Linked DNA regions of Canis lupus familiaris. The protein of the gene in region 1 purifies or fractionates together with the protein of each later gene. This does not show direct contact. Links are inferred from orthologs where the notes say so. Each region holds a gene or a part of one and is shown on either strand. Other genes may lie near its edges.

Region 1 (8,302 bases):
TATAGTTTTTAAAAGTTTAATGATGAGTTATGGATAGATACTTGCCCTCAAATGTACAGGTATTCATTTTAGAATACAGAAACTTTCTTTAGAAACAAAATGAAAATACCTTGTAGGGAAGTTTGTAAGGTGCATGAAAATCCACACCACAGAATCTGAAAATACATCTTGGACAGGTACCAGTACTGAGCAACAACTGGGCCACATGCTTGTTTTCCTCAGTCAGTGGAAACATACTGAATAATAATAACTAGAAAGAAAAAAAAGTAAAAGTAATGAACATCTTTTGTGTTTTACTTTCACAAATATGTCACTTTTATGGATTAAAAACTAATTTTATTTGAAAACATTATTTCGTACCCTCCAATAATATCCCTTTCGCTATATCTATATTGAAACATAAACTTGAAAGACATTTACTAGATGGGTCAGGTAAAAGTTTCTAATTATCAAGGAATTCAGTTCACCATTCTGGATTATGATAAAGTATATCAATATAACTAAAATCAATTAAAATAATCAAGAATGATTATCTCTGAGAATAATAAAAACAAAGAATACAGAGTGAAGGTTTGTTATTTTGCACCATTCAGTGTTGAGAACACAATTGAGTAGTAAATTCAATAAACTTTTCCTATTAGAAATTAAAAATGAGTTTGCTAGGAAAAAATAATCAGTCCATCTATATTTTTTAATGGTCTCAATGATACTTAAACAGGCAAGTATTCACTTATTTAATTTTTTTTTAAGATTTCACTTATTCATTTGACAGAGAGAGAGCACAAGCAAAGGGACTGATAAGGAGATGGAGAGGGAGAGACAGACTCCCTGCTTAGAAGGGAACCCGATATGGGGCTCAATCCCAGGACCCAGGGATTATAACCTGACTGAAGGCAGCTGCTTAACCAACTGAGCCCCCCAGGCCCCCCCAATAGTCAAGTATTTAAAACAAATTGATCAGTAGAAATAAAATCATCTATTATACTTTGATGAGATAACTAAATGACAACCAACTATTAGCAAAATGAGAAAAATCTGCTCCTTTCATGCACAAGTAAAACCTCCCCCCACCAAAAACCCCCACAAATTACATGCAAAATAATTTAGAGTAATTATCATCTAAAACAAGTTGTTAGTTTTTGCAATTTGAATAAACATCCTTAGAAACAAAAACTAGAGAAGAGGGTAAAATCCAATATAACTCTCTTGTTGCCAGGAAGGAGGTATACTAAAATCAAATTACCTAATCATTCTGTTTTACAAAAATAGGTCTGATTAATGAATCAGCTCACATTACTTTAAAATGAGGAGCTAGCAATATTTTATAAAATAATAATTGTGGTATGGTATAACTATGGTCATACAGATAAAAAACAGTGGCGCTTTTTAATTTGTGCAGTTTCATAATTCGAACAAACTTGCTTAAAATTTGTGGGACGGTGAAGCTCTTACCAACCTCTTACAGTGAAGATGTAGTTTGTCTTTTCCAACCCTTTAAAATCCACTACTTTAAGTTTCTAAATATTTGTGGCCACTTATCAGGAGTCTATCCTTGACCCAAAATAATGAGGAAGGCAGGTATATACTTCTACAGAACCCTTCACCATAAAAATCAGTTTAGCAGCCAGGACTACAAAAAACAGGTTGCCTCTGACCGAGTTCCAATTCAGGTAAACATAGAGTGGGAGCTAGCAGACAGGAAGAGAAGAACATCTGACTTTGCCTGGATAGGCCAGTGAGAACTTTGAGACACCAGGATTAAGCTTTGATTTAGGGCTGCCTACTTAAAGTTGGGCTCAAGGGCATTCTCACAAAAGGACACAAAGTTTGTGGAGAACATCTTGTACAGAGTAGCTGTATGTGGTCATCATTATATGCAAGTGATTTGGATTCCTTCTGCCAGGCCATTTAATCTGCTAGTTTTTTGTTTTGTTTTTTTTATTCATAAAAGACACAGAGAGAGAGGCAGAGACACAGGCAGAGGGAGAAGCAGGCGAGGGAGCCCTATGTGGGACTCGATCCCGGGTCTCCTAGATCAGGCCCTGGGCCAAAGGCAGACGCTCAACCGCTGAGCCACCCAGGCTGCCCCTAATCTGCTGGTTTGATTGGAACTCAGTGAGGGACTGATTATCAGCATTTAAAGTACATCCTTGACTACAATCCCCTCCGGGAGAAACTATTTCTGTCTCACTCTTTATTTTTTTTTCTCCATCTTTCCATGACTTAAGACCAAAGATATCATTTAATCCAGAATTAATCTGTAACTCAGAAAGAGAAACAAACCTTCCTCCCTGATAAATAAGTGCATGAGTAAGTTTTTACAAAGAACACTTTGAGGGGCAGCCTTGGAGGCTCAGCGGTTTAGCGCCTGCCTTCAGCCCAGGCCATGATCCTGGAGTCCTGGGATCGAGTCCCACGTCCAGCTCCCTGCATGGAGCCTGCTTCTCCCTCTGCCTGTTTCTCTGCCTCTCTCTCTGTGTGTCTCTAATGAATAAATAAAAATCTTTAAGAAAATAAATAAAAATAAAAAGAACACTTTGTCTCAAAGATTTCCCTGGGGGGCTGAAGATAAATACTATTATTGAAATGGATGCTTCCTAACGATAACACGGTTCCATTTGGGACAATATGGATGGACGGAACAGGTTGTTACACTATGTGAAGTAAGTCAAATTGAGAAAGACAAATACCATGTGATGTCACCCCTAAGTGGAATCCAAAAAACAAAACACACACACAAATGAATAAGCAAACAAAACGGATCTCTATAAATACAAAGCACAAACTGATGGTTGCCAAAGGGAAGAGGAGTGAGGAACACAGGCTTCCAAAGGTGGAGTAAGTCATCAGGATAAAAGGCAATGATTTGTGATAGGTTGCAGGGCGGTGTCGGAAGTTGGCTACACTTGGCGTGAGCACAGGATTTCCTACAGAGAGATTGAATCACTATGTTTTACACCTGAAACTCGTGTAACATTGTGGGTCAACTATACTTAAATTTAAAAACAAAAAATTCAATTGGGGAGGGAAAAAAAAAGGATACTTTCTTTCCTTTGGTTCAAAGACTGTTTATTTCTCCGAGAGGTATACTCTTGGTATGAAGGCTATCACTGCAAAGGCAATAAATGACACATTACAACCTCTTGGCTCTGAGATGTTCCCAACACTGCGGAGAATTCGGAAACCTCTTGGCCTGAGTAATCGTAAGAGGTATGAATGAATGAATGAATGAATGAATGAATGAATGAATGAATGAATGAATGACACAAGACTAAACCCAGTCTTCGGTGTGCATGTGTCGGTGATGGGTCTTCCGAACCCTCCCGCTCTTTTTCACTTTGCAGCAATCTAGCGACTTCTCAAACAAGTTGACAGTAAAAGCAAGAAATGCGGGATCCCCAGGTGGCTCAGAGGTTCAGCGCCTGCCTCGGGCTCAGGGCGTGACCCTGGACGACCCGGGATCGAGTCCCACGTCGGGCTCCCTGCATGGAGCCTGCTTCTCCCTCTGCCTGTGTCTCTGCCTCTCTCTGTGTGTCTCCCATGAATAAAAAATATTTTTTTAAAAAATCTAAAAGGAGGAAATGCGCTCTGCCTTACACTCGGTGGTTTCCTCTTGATGCGCGGCCTTGCAAGAATTCCTTAGGTCCTCAGAAATCAGCCGTCCCCTACGAGGTGTCCCAGCTTTGAAAGCAAAGCCCTAAGAGCTCTAAGGTGGGTCACTGCCGGCTGCCTTCGTTCCGGTTTTGTTCGTTTTGTTTTGTTTTTGCTTCTCCTCTACGTGCTTCTTTACATAAACCATGGGAACTCAGTCATTGCAACAGGACCTCCTCCCACCTGCCAGGATCCTGAACCGGGGTCTGAGTCAGTTCTCCACGGGCCAGCGATGCCTGGAGGAGACGGCGGACTTTCTTTTCACCTCTTGGACTTAAACAGAAGCCATTCATTACAGATAGGGAAGGAGCAGGGCGTGTGAAAACACACACACACACACACACACACACACACACACACACAATATGGCCAAACTGGGTCTCGCACCCCGGGATCTTCCAACGCTCATTTCCATACCGAAGCGTGTGTGTGGTTCGTCTCCCGGCGGCGGCGGAGGACGTGCACTTTTCGAAGGAGACGCTCACAACTTCATCGCGCTACCGTCGCTCTCCGCTGCAAAATCCACTCTAGACGCGTGGAAATGCATCCAGAGCCTAACCTCCAGTCTCTCCTCCGGCCAGGCGAGCCCTTCCCCGGCTGCGGTCGGGTCCGAGGAACTTCCCGCTCGCCCCTTCCTGCTAACGAGGCCGCTCCTGGAGGAAGGACGCCACCCGGTCCATCCACACCTCTGCAGCGCCCCGTCCGAGCCCGCGCCCCCCGGCCCCCGCCCCGCCCCCCAGACCTTCCTGCCTCACCTTCTCTCGCGACGCGGGAGCCTGGGCTTTAACCCCTTCCGGTCCCCCAGAGGGAACGGGGGGAAGACTAAAGACAACGCACCTACTGCGTGACGCAATTCTGTTCCCCGAGGAAACGAGAGCTTTGGAACGAAAGTACCAGGCCCTCTCGCAAAGGGCTGAGCGAGTGAACTCTCGCCTCTTCTTGTTTGTGGGGAAACCAGAAAAGCTGCCTGGCCCGCCGCCACAACCCCTTGCCCCCACTGCCAACCCCGCGGGCGGTAGAAGTGCGGGGGACAGAACTCGCAGCGTCCCAGAGAAGCCTCCATAGGACTCCGATGTCTAGGGCGTTGTAGCCGCTGCCAGAAATATCGATGAGCGCCTACCTTCAGGTTTACAATGGACATAATTGCAAATTAAAAGAGAGAGAGTCCCACCCCCCCCCCCCCACCCCCCCACCCCCCCACCCCCGGTGGATTAGCAGCAGCGACCTGGCCTCAGGTGCCCTCTGGCAGAGTAGCGCAGGCGGCGCGCTGGCGGCCGGGGTGGGCGGGGGTGGAGAACTCGGTGCTCTGCCCGTTGTGCCTGGCGAGGTGCTGCTGTCCCCGGGCCTGGGGAGTCCCAGCGCGGACGGGGAGGCGAGCGGTGGCGGAGGAGATGGCTTCCCAGCCGCCTCCTCCCCCGAAACCCTGGGAGACCCGGCGAATTCCTGGGGTCGGGCCGGGCCCGGGCCCCGGCCCCTCTTTCCAGTGAGTGTGGGATTCTTCTGGCCGCGGGGCTGGCGGGGCGGAGCGGCGGTTTGGCAGGAGACGGTTGAGGCCGTTGTGGGGCGGAGGTGTCCCCTCCCCCCGCGCCGGGCCCGGGCGCCGAGGGGTCTAAGCTAGAGACCACTCCGGGGCCGCACGGCTCTCTCGGACTGGACGGCTCTCGGTAGGGACGCTCTTCAGGGGGACCCTCCCTGGGTCCCGGCGCCTGCAGGAAAGCGGGAGGCTTTCCTGCCTCCGTTTCCTGGGAGCGGAACACGGCGACAGAACCGCTCGGCCCTTAGAAAAAAATGTTCGACTTTTGGTCTTTGGCAGGTGTGAGTGGCTGAGATTGGCCCAGCCCCAGGTCGCCCCGGAGGGAGCAAAGTCTCCGCCCGGCTTTTACGGCGCCTCTCGGGCAGCTGGTGGAGGCCCCGAAGGTCGCTGTGAACCCAGGTCTATGCACTTTATGTTGTTTTTCTGCATAACTGAGCGACGTTTTGGGTAAAGACCTGGAGAAGCAACTTTCAAGCGGGAGTCCTAAATCCGAGGCCTATATGTAGATGGCCTTTGTGGGTCACTTTTCCAAGGCCTGTGTGTTGTTGTTTATTTATTTATTTGTTTGTTTCTCATCGGTGTCTTTTTTTTTTAAGATTTTATTTATTTATTCATGAGAGACACAGAGAGAGAGAGAGGCAGAGACACAGGCAGAGGGAGAACCCCCCCACACACCCCCCACCCCCATATACTGGGTGTATTCCTGCTGTGTTGTAAGATCTTGTAATCCTTGTTGAAATGTTGAGATACTTGAACACATTAGCAGCTTAATCTAATAATGGTAGATTCATCACGAGTAATAAGCTTTGATTGTACTGTTAAGTTGGAGGGCGACGCTTTCTGCTGTGTTATGAATGATTTGACTTTTTTAAATTAATTAATTTTAAGGTTTTATTTATTTATTTATTTTATTCATGAGAGACACACACAGAGGGAGCCCGACGTGGGTGGGACTCGATCCCCGGGACTCCAGGATCACGCCCTGGGCCCCAAGGCAGGCGCTAAACCGCTGCGCCACCCAGGGATCCCCCCCCCCCCCCGCCATTGGACTTTTTTTAAAACCTTGAACAGCAATTTGGGAAGACAGGTTTTATACTTGGCATCTTGTTAAAAGTCCTGTTTATGTAAAATTAACCTTTTTTTCCCCCCATTTTTCTTCGTTGAGAATTTTAAACACATAGAAATCTGGTAGAGTGTTAAGACAAGGAATACTTGCGGACTCAGGCTAGCTTTAAGAACATTTTTCCAGATCTGCCTCAGATTTTTTTTTTTTTTCAGATTAAAAAAATAATAATAAAACTTAGAGAAAGTGTTAAGCCTCCCATTCTTCTTTCCTGCTATAACTACTGTCCCTATTTGGTGGTTTGTGTGCCCAATTATGTTTTTATAGTTTAGCAGTTTTTGTGTTTTATGTGTGTGTGTGTATCTGTGTGTATAGTGTTTAGTGTGTTTTTAGACTTTATGTTCAAACTATCATTTTGCAAATTTTTTCCATTAAATACTGATTTTGAGGTTTCTCTTGTTCATACTTACATCTGTAGTTCATTTTAATCGCCAAAGGATATTCTATTAAAACAAACTTATTCTGTTGTAGGTGTTAAAGTATTAGCTACATATTAAAAACCGCTAGTGATTTTTTTAAAAGATTATTTACTTATTTGTGAGAGAGAGAGAGAGAGAACATGAGCAGGGGCAAGGGGCAGAGGGAGAGGGAAAAGCAGACTCCCTCAGAGCAGGGAGCCCAATGCCAACTGATCCCAGGACAGTGAGATCACGACCTGAGCCTAAGGCAGACACCCACTGAGCCACCCAGGTGCCTCTGCAGTGACCATTCTTGTGCCTTTCTTCTTGTCCTCATTTCCAAGGTGTTTCCTAATTGTTATTGGAAGTGGAATTGCTTGGTGGAGGGTATGCTTAGCTTCAAGTACTAACTATTGCCAAGTTGCTCCCCAAAGTGGTTTTATACCAGTGTTTACATTTTCACTAGCAAAGTATTGTGTCTCTACATTCTTTCTAACACTTGATGTTATTTTTTAGTTCTTTATTTGCCAACCTAATAGATAAGAAAAGATATTTCATTTTTAATTTGTACTCTCTGGTTAGTAATAAGATTGAGCATCTTTTTTTTTATGAGCATCTTTTTGAATATTAGCCATTTGAGTTTTTTCTGTTGATATTTCTTGCCCACTTTTTTTATTGGCTCCAAATTTGCCTATCAACTTGTTAAAAGTCCTTTATTCATACTTACTCTATTTTTGTATGTTTTCAATATCTTTCAGTCTGTGACTTGTCTTCTTGCTGTATTTGTATTCATGTTCACTTTTGTTGTATAGATACTTTTAATTTAAATATAACCAAAATTTTCATATTTATTGTTTGTGTTTTTACTGTCTTGGTTAAGAAACCCTTTCTGCCTCAGATCAAGAAAATTTTTTTCAAAAAAAATTTTTTTTCTCTATTTTTTAAAAATACTCTGCATTTCACATTCATATCTTTAATCTCCCTGGAACTGACTCTGTTGTATAAAATCAGTTGCAAAGTAGAGAATATAGGTTTTTTTTTTTCCCCCATGGGGATAAATACCCCAGTATCATTAATTTATACCATACTAGTTTATAATGCCATCTGCATCATATTAAGCTTTCATAAATGTGTGGGTTCTGTTTGGGAAGCTTTCTGATATGTTCTATTGGTCTTTCTATTCTTATGCTAGCACCACTTTTTTTTTTTTTTTAAGATTGTATTTTTTCATTTTAGAGAGAGAACAAGCAGGAGGAGGGAAAGAGAGAATCTCAAGCAAACTACCCACTGAGGGACCCCTGCTAATGACCCTGAGATTACTATCTGAACCAAAATCAAAAGTCAGACTCTTAACTGAGCCACCCAGGCACCCCCACACTGTCTTAGTTAATAAGTTTGATACCTGGTATGTGAACAACCTCCATACATTGCTGTTCTTCAAAATTGCCTTTGTTACATTTACCCTTTATAAAAAGACTTACTGAGATTTTTATTGGAACTTTTTGAGAATTTGAATCTTTTTTGCCTTAAATAATGTAACTATCTCAAGGAAGTATTTTTCCATCTTTTATATCCAGCATAATTCAGACTTAAGTT
Region 2 (7,702 bases), on another chromosome or scaffold:
ATAGATCTAGACAATTAGATGTGCTGATTTCTCTTTAAGATCTATTTATTTATTTTAGACAGAGAGAGACAGAGCGCGCGCGTGCACAAGCCAGAGGGGCAGGGGGAGAGGAAGAGAGAATCTCAAGCAGACTCCCATGTTGAGTGCAGAGCCTGACATTACAACCTGAGCTAAAACCAAGAGTCATACACTTAATTGACTGCACCACCCAGGCACCCCTGATATGCTGATTTTAAGAATACTTTAACCCTAAAGAAATTCTTAGACCAAAAAATGAAGTATTTCAGGAAGTATAGGATTTGTCATATTTTCAGGTTTTTAAAAATTTTTTTATTTATTCATGAGAGACACAGAGCAAGGAAGAGACACAGGCAGAGGGAGAAGCAGGCTTCCTGCAGGGAGCCCAATGTGGGACTCAATCCTAGGACCCCAGGATCACAACCTGAGCCAAAGGCAGATGCTCAACCACTGAGCCACCAAGGCGTCCCATAGAAGACCCTCGTTTATACTCCCATTTGTAGTTTTGAAATCCCCCATTTGTGGTTTTGAAATTATAATGTACCTTATAATTATTAATTTCTCTTTGTTCAGGGAACACGTGGACTTCGAAAAGCATGAACCTTTCTTAAAAGATAAAGTCTAGGGCAGCCCAGGTGGCTCAGCAGTTTAGCACCACCTTCGGCCCAGGGCGTGATCCTGGGGACCAGAGATCAAGTCCCACGTCAAGCTCCCGGCATGGAGACTGCTTCTCCCTCTGCCTGTGTCTGCCTCCCTCTCTCTCTCTCTCTCTGTCTCTCATGAATAAATAAATAAAATCTTAAAAAAAAAAAAAAAAAAAAAACAACGATAAAGGCTATAGGGGCATCTGAATGGCTTAGTTGGTTGAACATCCGACTCTTGATTTCGGCTTGGGTCATGATCTCAGGGTCCTGGGATTAAACCCTGCATTGGGCTAGTGCTGAGCATGAAGCATGCTTGAGATCATCTCTCTCCCTCTGCCCCTTCACTCCTCCCTCCCTCCCTCTCTTAAAAAAATAAGAAAGAAAAAAAAAGGTAAAGTTCATCAACTACAAGCATAAGGGTACTTGTGAAATTCCTGTGATAAATCTTTGTCCAAAATCATAACACTTATTTGTTGAAAAACAGAGGACCTGCATGTGGAACCCACTACAGATAAATTTTGATTCTCAGCACTGCCATTCACTTATTCTCCCAAGGGAAGTGATTTTAAAAAAGGGTCAAAACACTTCTGCTCTTTTAACACAGACCCAATGATAGACACACCTTTTGGGACAAATCCCCAGCCCGAAAGTGAGGAGTCACATTGACAGGTATTTTGAAATGAAGTACCCATATGCAGAGGATTGAAGCCAATGTGGTAGCATCTTTATACTGTCTAATAATGTTTTGAGCAAGGGGTGCCTGGATGGCTCAGTCGGTTGAGTATCTGACTCTTGGTTTCAGCTCAGGTCATAAGCTCAGGATCTTGGGGATCAGGCCCCATGTAGGACTCTGTGCTCAGCTCAGAGTCTGATTGTCCCTCTCCCTGCCCATCTGCTACTCTCCTCACCTCCACCTCGCTTACAAGTTCTCTCTCTCTCTCTCAAATAAAATCTTTTTAAAAGAGAGAGAGAGAAAATAACGTTTTGAGTGGTAAAGAGGTTATAGGAATAGCCTCTTAACCTCAAATACCCATGTTAAGTGTAGGAAAAATTTCTGGGAAAAAAGTGAGCAACATGAGAGATTTGTGCATCAGTTCCCATGAGCTGCCTTGTAGATGTTTGCTAGAACCTCACGGGATACATCAGTATAGTGGAGTACCTGAAACAGTCATGCTGTAGCATTGGAACACATGTCAAAATGTAGCATTTGCTTCTCAGTTACAGGATATTGGGTAAACTAGTTTTATTTGCTATTTAAAACTTTTCTGTATTTTCCCAATTTTCCTCAAAGTGCATTCTTTTTAATTAGAAATATCACTGCTTCAAAAACTGTTAGTGATTGACCCTAATAAAGAAGTTCCTTTAGTAAGTTTGTATAAATAAGTAAGGAAATTTAATGAAAGTAACTTTGTATAAATGTTATCATACTCTGTTGTGTTGAATTTTATATTATTGGTTATTGAGGGATTTTCTTACACTTTGGAAATTGTTGTATCTGGCCACATGTAGCTTTCTTATTTAAAGTTGATAAAATAGGGGGTCCCTGGGTGGCGCAGCGGTTTGGCGCCTGCCTTTGGCCCAGGGCGCGATCCTGGTAGACCCGGGATCGAATCCCACATCGGGCTCCCGGTGCATGGAGCCTGCTTCTCCCTCTGCCTGTGTCTCTGCGCCTCTCTCTCTCTCTGTGACTGTCGTAAATAAATAAAAATTAAAAAAAAATTAAAAAAAAATAAAGTTGATAAAATAGGGATGCCTAGGTAGCTCAGCAGTTGAGCCTCTGCCTTTGGCTCAGCGCGTGATCCTGGAGACCCGGGATCGAGTCCCACATCGGGCTCCCTGCATGGAGCCTGCTTCTCCCTCTGCCTGTGTCTCTGCCTCTCTCTCTCCCTCTCTCTCTGTGTGTGTCCAATGAATAAACATATAATCTTTAAAAAATAAAGTTGATAAAATAAATTTAAAAAAATTTTTTAAACTTGACAAAATATATTTTTAATCTTTAATTAAACTACCTATTATTTATCTTAGTCTGCTCTTTCCCCTAGAGCCTACGATGGTACCTGGCCCACTTACATAAATGTTTGAATAAATGGCTTTTCTGTAGTATTGGCAAATACTATATTTTTATTTAAAACAGTAGCTCCAGGAATGTATTCTAACACTGAAGACTGCCTTTCAAAGGAAAATGAAGATGTCCCTCATTTAATTACTTCTTCCCTTTTATTATCAGGGGGCACAGTTTCTAACAGAGCTTGCACCTCTGTGTAAGATTTACTGCTCAGATGGAGAAGAATACACCATATCTAGGTAAGTCGCTTTTTAACCACAATTTAGGAGAAACAAAGGAGGTAGTATCTTTCTTCAAAACAACTTTTGTTTTAAATAGCTGTGTTAGAGGACGGTTGATGGAAGTGAATGAAAACATTCTCCATAAGCCATCTATTCTTCAAGAGAAGGTAAAGGAGGGAGAAAAAAGTATCCCATTCTACATACTTTTTAATCTCATTTTATAGATAAGACAATATTAAATATTCAATTCCTTTCTAGCCATCGACTGAAGGCTACATTGCGGTTGTATTGCCCAAATTTGAAGAAAGTAAAAGCATAACAGAAGGGTTACTGACACAGAAACAGTATGAAGAAGTCGTGGTGAAGCGCATTAATGCCACAACGGCTCCATCATGAGGATTGTAATGGGGTAATGAACAACGCGGCATGCTTATCCCTCCCTGGCCTGTGGCCTGAGCGATCCATGCACTAAAGAACCACCTACACATGTGAAGTGCTTCACCCCAAGCCATCCGCAGAGAAGCCTGACCTTAAAACTTAACCTAGTTTTCCCCCTTTATCTTTTATAACGAGTCTTGGTTCTTGTTTTGTCCTCAGCCTCCCAGATCTGCCCTATGTACTCACTCTGTTCTTGTGCTTTTCTAACAACTGGCAAGGAGAGGATGTTTTTCTGATTAAAAATAAAGCACTTTGAGAAAAATTTGGATAAAACAGATAAGTGTTAAATAGCAAAGTAAAAATAATTTAACTGGGATCCCTGGGTGGCGCAGCAGTTTGCGCCTGCCTTTGGCCCAGGGCGCGATCCTGGAGACCCGGGATCGAATCCCACGTTGGGCTCCCGGTGCATGGAGCCTGCTTCTCCCTCTGCCTGTGTCTCTGCGCCTCTCTCTCTCTCTCTCTCTGTGACTATCATAAATAAATAAAAATTAAAAAAAAATTAAAAAAAATAATTTAACCATCATCCCATAACCCATTAGTAAATACTACATTTTGATATGCTTCGGTTTGAATGTTACGGCATGGTTATTGCTTTTGCCTTGATTTTCCTTCAGTTTAAAGTTGGGGAAAAAAAAATCAGGCCTTTTTTGCCCATTTGGCTTCTGAATGACACTACAGAAAAGGCTAGAACAGCCTCTTCAGCCCTAGCTCTTCTCCCTTTAGATTGTAGGGGAGGGGCAGAGCATAGAGTATACCTCCTCCACTCCTTATACAGTCTGTAGCTCGGATGGCCTTCTCTGAAACAAAGTCGAATGTAACACTGGCTTCTTAAATAAGGGATATAGGAAAAGGCTTTGAAAACTACAAAGGGCTTTCCCAACGTGGAAGTATTCTAATGCAGTGTAAAGCTGCTTATCACAGTACGTACAGTGTAGTTGCTCACACACTCTAGCTGTGGTGTAGCCAGCCAAGAAGTCATTGAGAAGTTGCTGTAATCCAAAGACATAGATGCCTTTGAACAGAACAAAAACTTTTACATCATCTAAACTAAAAACAGAACTGATAGGCTTTAAGATTGTCTACTTACACTGAATTTCAAATAAAAGGACTTTTTAAATTGTTTTTTTTTCTTAAAGGCTGTAGCACATGTACATTTAAATATCTCTGTAAATAAAACAGAAGATGTAATTTAATACAGAAGAAATCCCTTTACTTGTAAATTCCTTTGGTTCTCTATCCGCTTAGCCTGTTGGTCGTAAGTCACCCCTTCCTCACCCCCCATTGCACTTAAATAAGAGAATATTCTCATTTCAGGTATATAAAAGTATTTTGTAAATAAAATCTAGAAGTTATTTTTGATTCACAAGAAAAACTTCTTGTAACTTGAGTGGCAGCATGACTGTCCTTTAAATATACCCACCAGACATAATATAGGTAGTAAGTGTACAGACATCTACACTGATGGTGCTAAGAGCTGGAAACAGAAGCACAAACCAGCTGATCCCCATTTTGAGTAGCATAATGATTCCTGAAGACATCAAAAAGATACTAAAGATAGTAAAAGATGTATTTTTGCATATAACATTACCTCACATTGTTCTCCCATTATTTCTATTTCTATTGTAATTTTAAATAATATTTTGGTCTCAGAGAATAAAAATCATGCTTGATAATTTTTATAAAAGAAGTATTTTTAAAGGTATTAACTAAGCCAAGTATATCCCATATTTTCCTGAATGCTTACAGTAACTTCAAGTGTCTTTCAATAAAATATTGACTAGCTAATTGGTAGTACTGTGGTTCTTCAGAATCTTGTGAATATTGATTGTGATAGCTGACCCAGATAACAATCATCACACAAGCTTATATAACTACTGCAGTCTGGCAACTGACGTGTCCTATCAGATTTCAAAATGAATTTCACAGCACTGGAATACAAGCATTAGCAAAAGTTCAAAACATGGTTAAACCATAAGGAGAGAACATATAAACTACGTCCCTTGATCAAAGCCCCACCCCAAACAGAAACAAAGGTTTAAACACTAAAATTAAAAAGATGAAAGATGTTTATTTGTTTTATAATGAACGTTCCAAAGGCACATTACAAAATGCACGATTATTCAGAATTTATTTTAAACATCTTAGTTCCATTGTTCTCTGTCTCGAATCTTCCATCAGTCAGTACAGAGAAGGATGGTTCAAAGACATTTTTTACACCAGTAAGACAGGCTTAGGATTCCAGCTATTACACAATAATATTGATAGCTGGCTATGGTAAAAGGAGAAGTGAAAGCCATCCCCTAGTGAGTTCCTGTAGGATTCTGTGGGTGAGCTCCATGACCCCACTTTTGGGAATGGGAGAGGGATGTGCAGCACAACAGAGCCCATGCTATGAAATGCTTGTTAGAGAACAAACGTGTGCTACCACGATGGGTGGTCGGTGACAGGACAGCAAAGAGGCCAGTCACAATTGTGGACAGAGGGACTGAAGAAGAGTCCACAGATTTAAGGAAACCCCTGCATTCACCCAGACAACTATGAATATATATATATATTTTTTCCTGCTGAAAATTAGTGTTCTAAATGATAGGCTTAAATAAAAGGAAATTAAGGTATTTTATGCCAAAGGTGAGCACATATTCAAAATAGCTTCTTTGGATAAAACTGTCACTAAGACAGTTGGGATATTTGGTTTGACTTTCAAGAACAGTATTAGTGGCAACGTCCCATTGTAAATTCACACTGCAATTAAGAATGTAGCAACTACCATTGAATTTATTAGTTGTCAAAAAACATCACAATCAGTTTTGTGATCAGAAAATAAAGCAAAATTTCATTATTGTTTTCCTTATAAAATTGTTAAATTTCTGAAAATATAAAGGATCATTTGCTTTCTAAAAATACCAGCTTTGCTCCATGCTGTTCCAGAGATCTGACCCCAAAAGCTTCTCAAGTTTTACCATCGACGGAGTCTTTATTTGTAACTGAGACCCATCTGTTATTTTCCATCTGAAGCTGGAAAGGGGTAAGACAATTAGCTTCTACTTTACTTTCAAAACAAAAATTGCCAAAATTAAATAGTAACTATTTCTTTTGCATTTTTCTTGAAACTAGTTTTTAAGTGTGATTTTCAGAAAAACTCTTACCTTCCTTAGTAGTTTATAGCAAAGTGAGAGAAGTTGGACCAAAATAGCCATCATGGATCTTGTCTTTATAATACACTTATCAATCTATAATGACAGAAAGCAAGCAAATCAAATTCTACAAAGGGTACTTCAAAAGACTGTATCATTGATTAATTTTGAACTGATAAAATATCTTCACTGTGGAAATCTAAAGGATCCTCAAAGGCATATGGATTAGGGCACATAAGCCGACTTGAGGCCCCAGAACACAAGCGCAGGGACTGCTGCCCAGGTCTCATGCCCACTTCACAGAACCCCATGAAGAATAAATGGAAAATCAACCTGTTCTATTTCAAGTTATTTTGGCACTTCTTAAAACACTCCAAATAGTGACAGTGAGCCCCCTACTTTGCAACTTCTGGCACTCTGCTTTGTTGGCATTAGCCAAATTCCCGAAGACAAACAATGGGAGCCCCTGCTTTGAGGAATCTGTGCCCTGGTTAGACATGTGACGACATCAGGATTTAAGGGTAGTTGCCCAGTGTTGCAGAATTATGCTCAAAAGGCTAATTTATTTGGTGAACCTACTGCTCCCCAGGCTGTTATAACTACAGATGATAAATGAGTCTTGCAATCAAGGTATGAAAAATGGAAGTAAACGGCCTGTAACTAATAACACCTCTGAAGAAAAATGGGCTAGAAACAAACCTGATAAGTGTGAAAGTTTCTCAAGTATCTCCCTGAATAACCCACTCCTCCTTTTACCTTTAGAAACACTTGATTTTGCAAAGGTGTCTTAGTTATTGTCTGGAGCTGGTGGCATAAAGGAATTAGCTTGTTTATTTCCAGGAGAAGCATAAGCTTGTCATCATCTTTCAGCTGAAATATAATTGAGGAAGTTATAACAACTCCAACAAAATCCATCTTTTAAATCTTAAATACCCGGGATGCCTCGTGGCTCAGCAGTTGAGCGTCTGCCTTTGGCTCAGGTCATGATACTGGAGACCCAGGACTGAGTCCCACATCAGGCTCCCTGCATGGAGCCTGCTTCTCCCTCTGCCTGTGTCTCTGCCTCTTTCTGTGTCTCTCATGAATAAATAAATAAAATATTTTAAAAAATAAATCTTAAATATGCTTTTACTGTAATAATATACCCCCAAAGTGGGTATTCATGACATCACCACCAAGACC

What was found. The genes of interacting proteins can lie anywhere in the genome.
Region 2: the proteins of PUS10 (region 1) and ABITRAM purify together in Homo sapiens (affinity purification with mass spectrometry; 3 studies listed by BioGRID and IntAct, counting the BioPlex papers as one, with this or other methods). This does not show direct contact. The link is inferred for Canis lupus familiaris from reciprocal best matches to the Homo sapiens genes PUS10 and ABITRAM.

The regions. Positions count from the first base shown.
Region 1 is NC_049231.1:62,390,190-62,398,491, forward strand, and holds the start of PUS10 (tRNA pseudouridine synthase Pus10), read right to left. Parts: upstream 5,436-8,302; 5' UTR 5,135-5,435; coding exon of another isoform or gene 5,043-5,134; 5' UTR 4,877-5,042; intron 4,787-4,876; exon of another isoform or gene 4,407-4,786; intron 4,305-4,406; exon of another isoform or gene 4,069-4,304; intron 3,925-4,068; exon of another isoform or gene 3,598-3,924; intron 251-3,597; 5' UTR 236-250; coding exon 110-235; intron 1-109. Other genes in the region: PEX13 (peroxisome biogenesis factor 13), read left to right, coding at 5,043-5,134. UniProt on the Homo sapiens protein: Protein with different functions depending on its subcellular location: involved in miRNA processing in the nucleus and acts as a tRNA pseudouridylate synthase in the cytoplasm.
Region 2 is NC_049232.1:64,463,339-64,471,040, forward strand, and holds the end of ABITRAM (protein Abitram), read left to right. Parts: intron 1-2,889; coding exon 2,890-2,966; intron 2,967-3,045; coding exon 3,046-3,115; intron 3,116-3,206; coding exon 3,207-3,344; 3' UTR 3,345-4,579; downstream 4,580-7,702. Other genes in the region: CTNNAL1 (alpha-catulin), read right to left, coding at 6,336-6,401, 6,533-6,616, 7,277-7,390. UniProt on the Homo sapiens protein: Actin-binding protein that regulates actin polymerization, filopodia dynamics and increases the branching of proximal dendrites of developing neurons.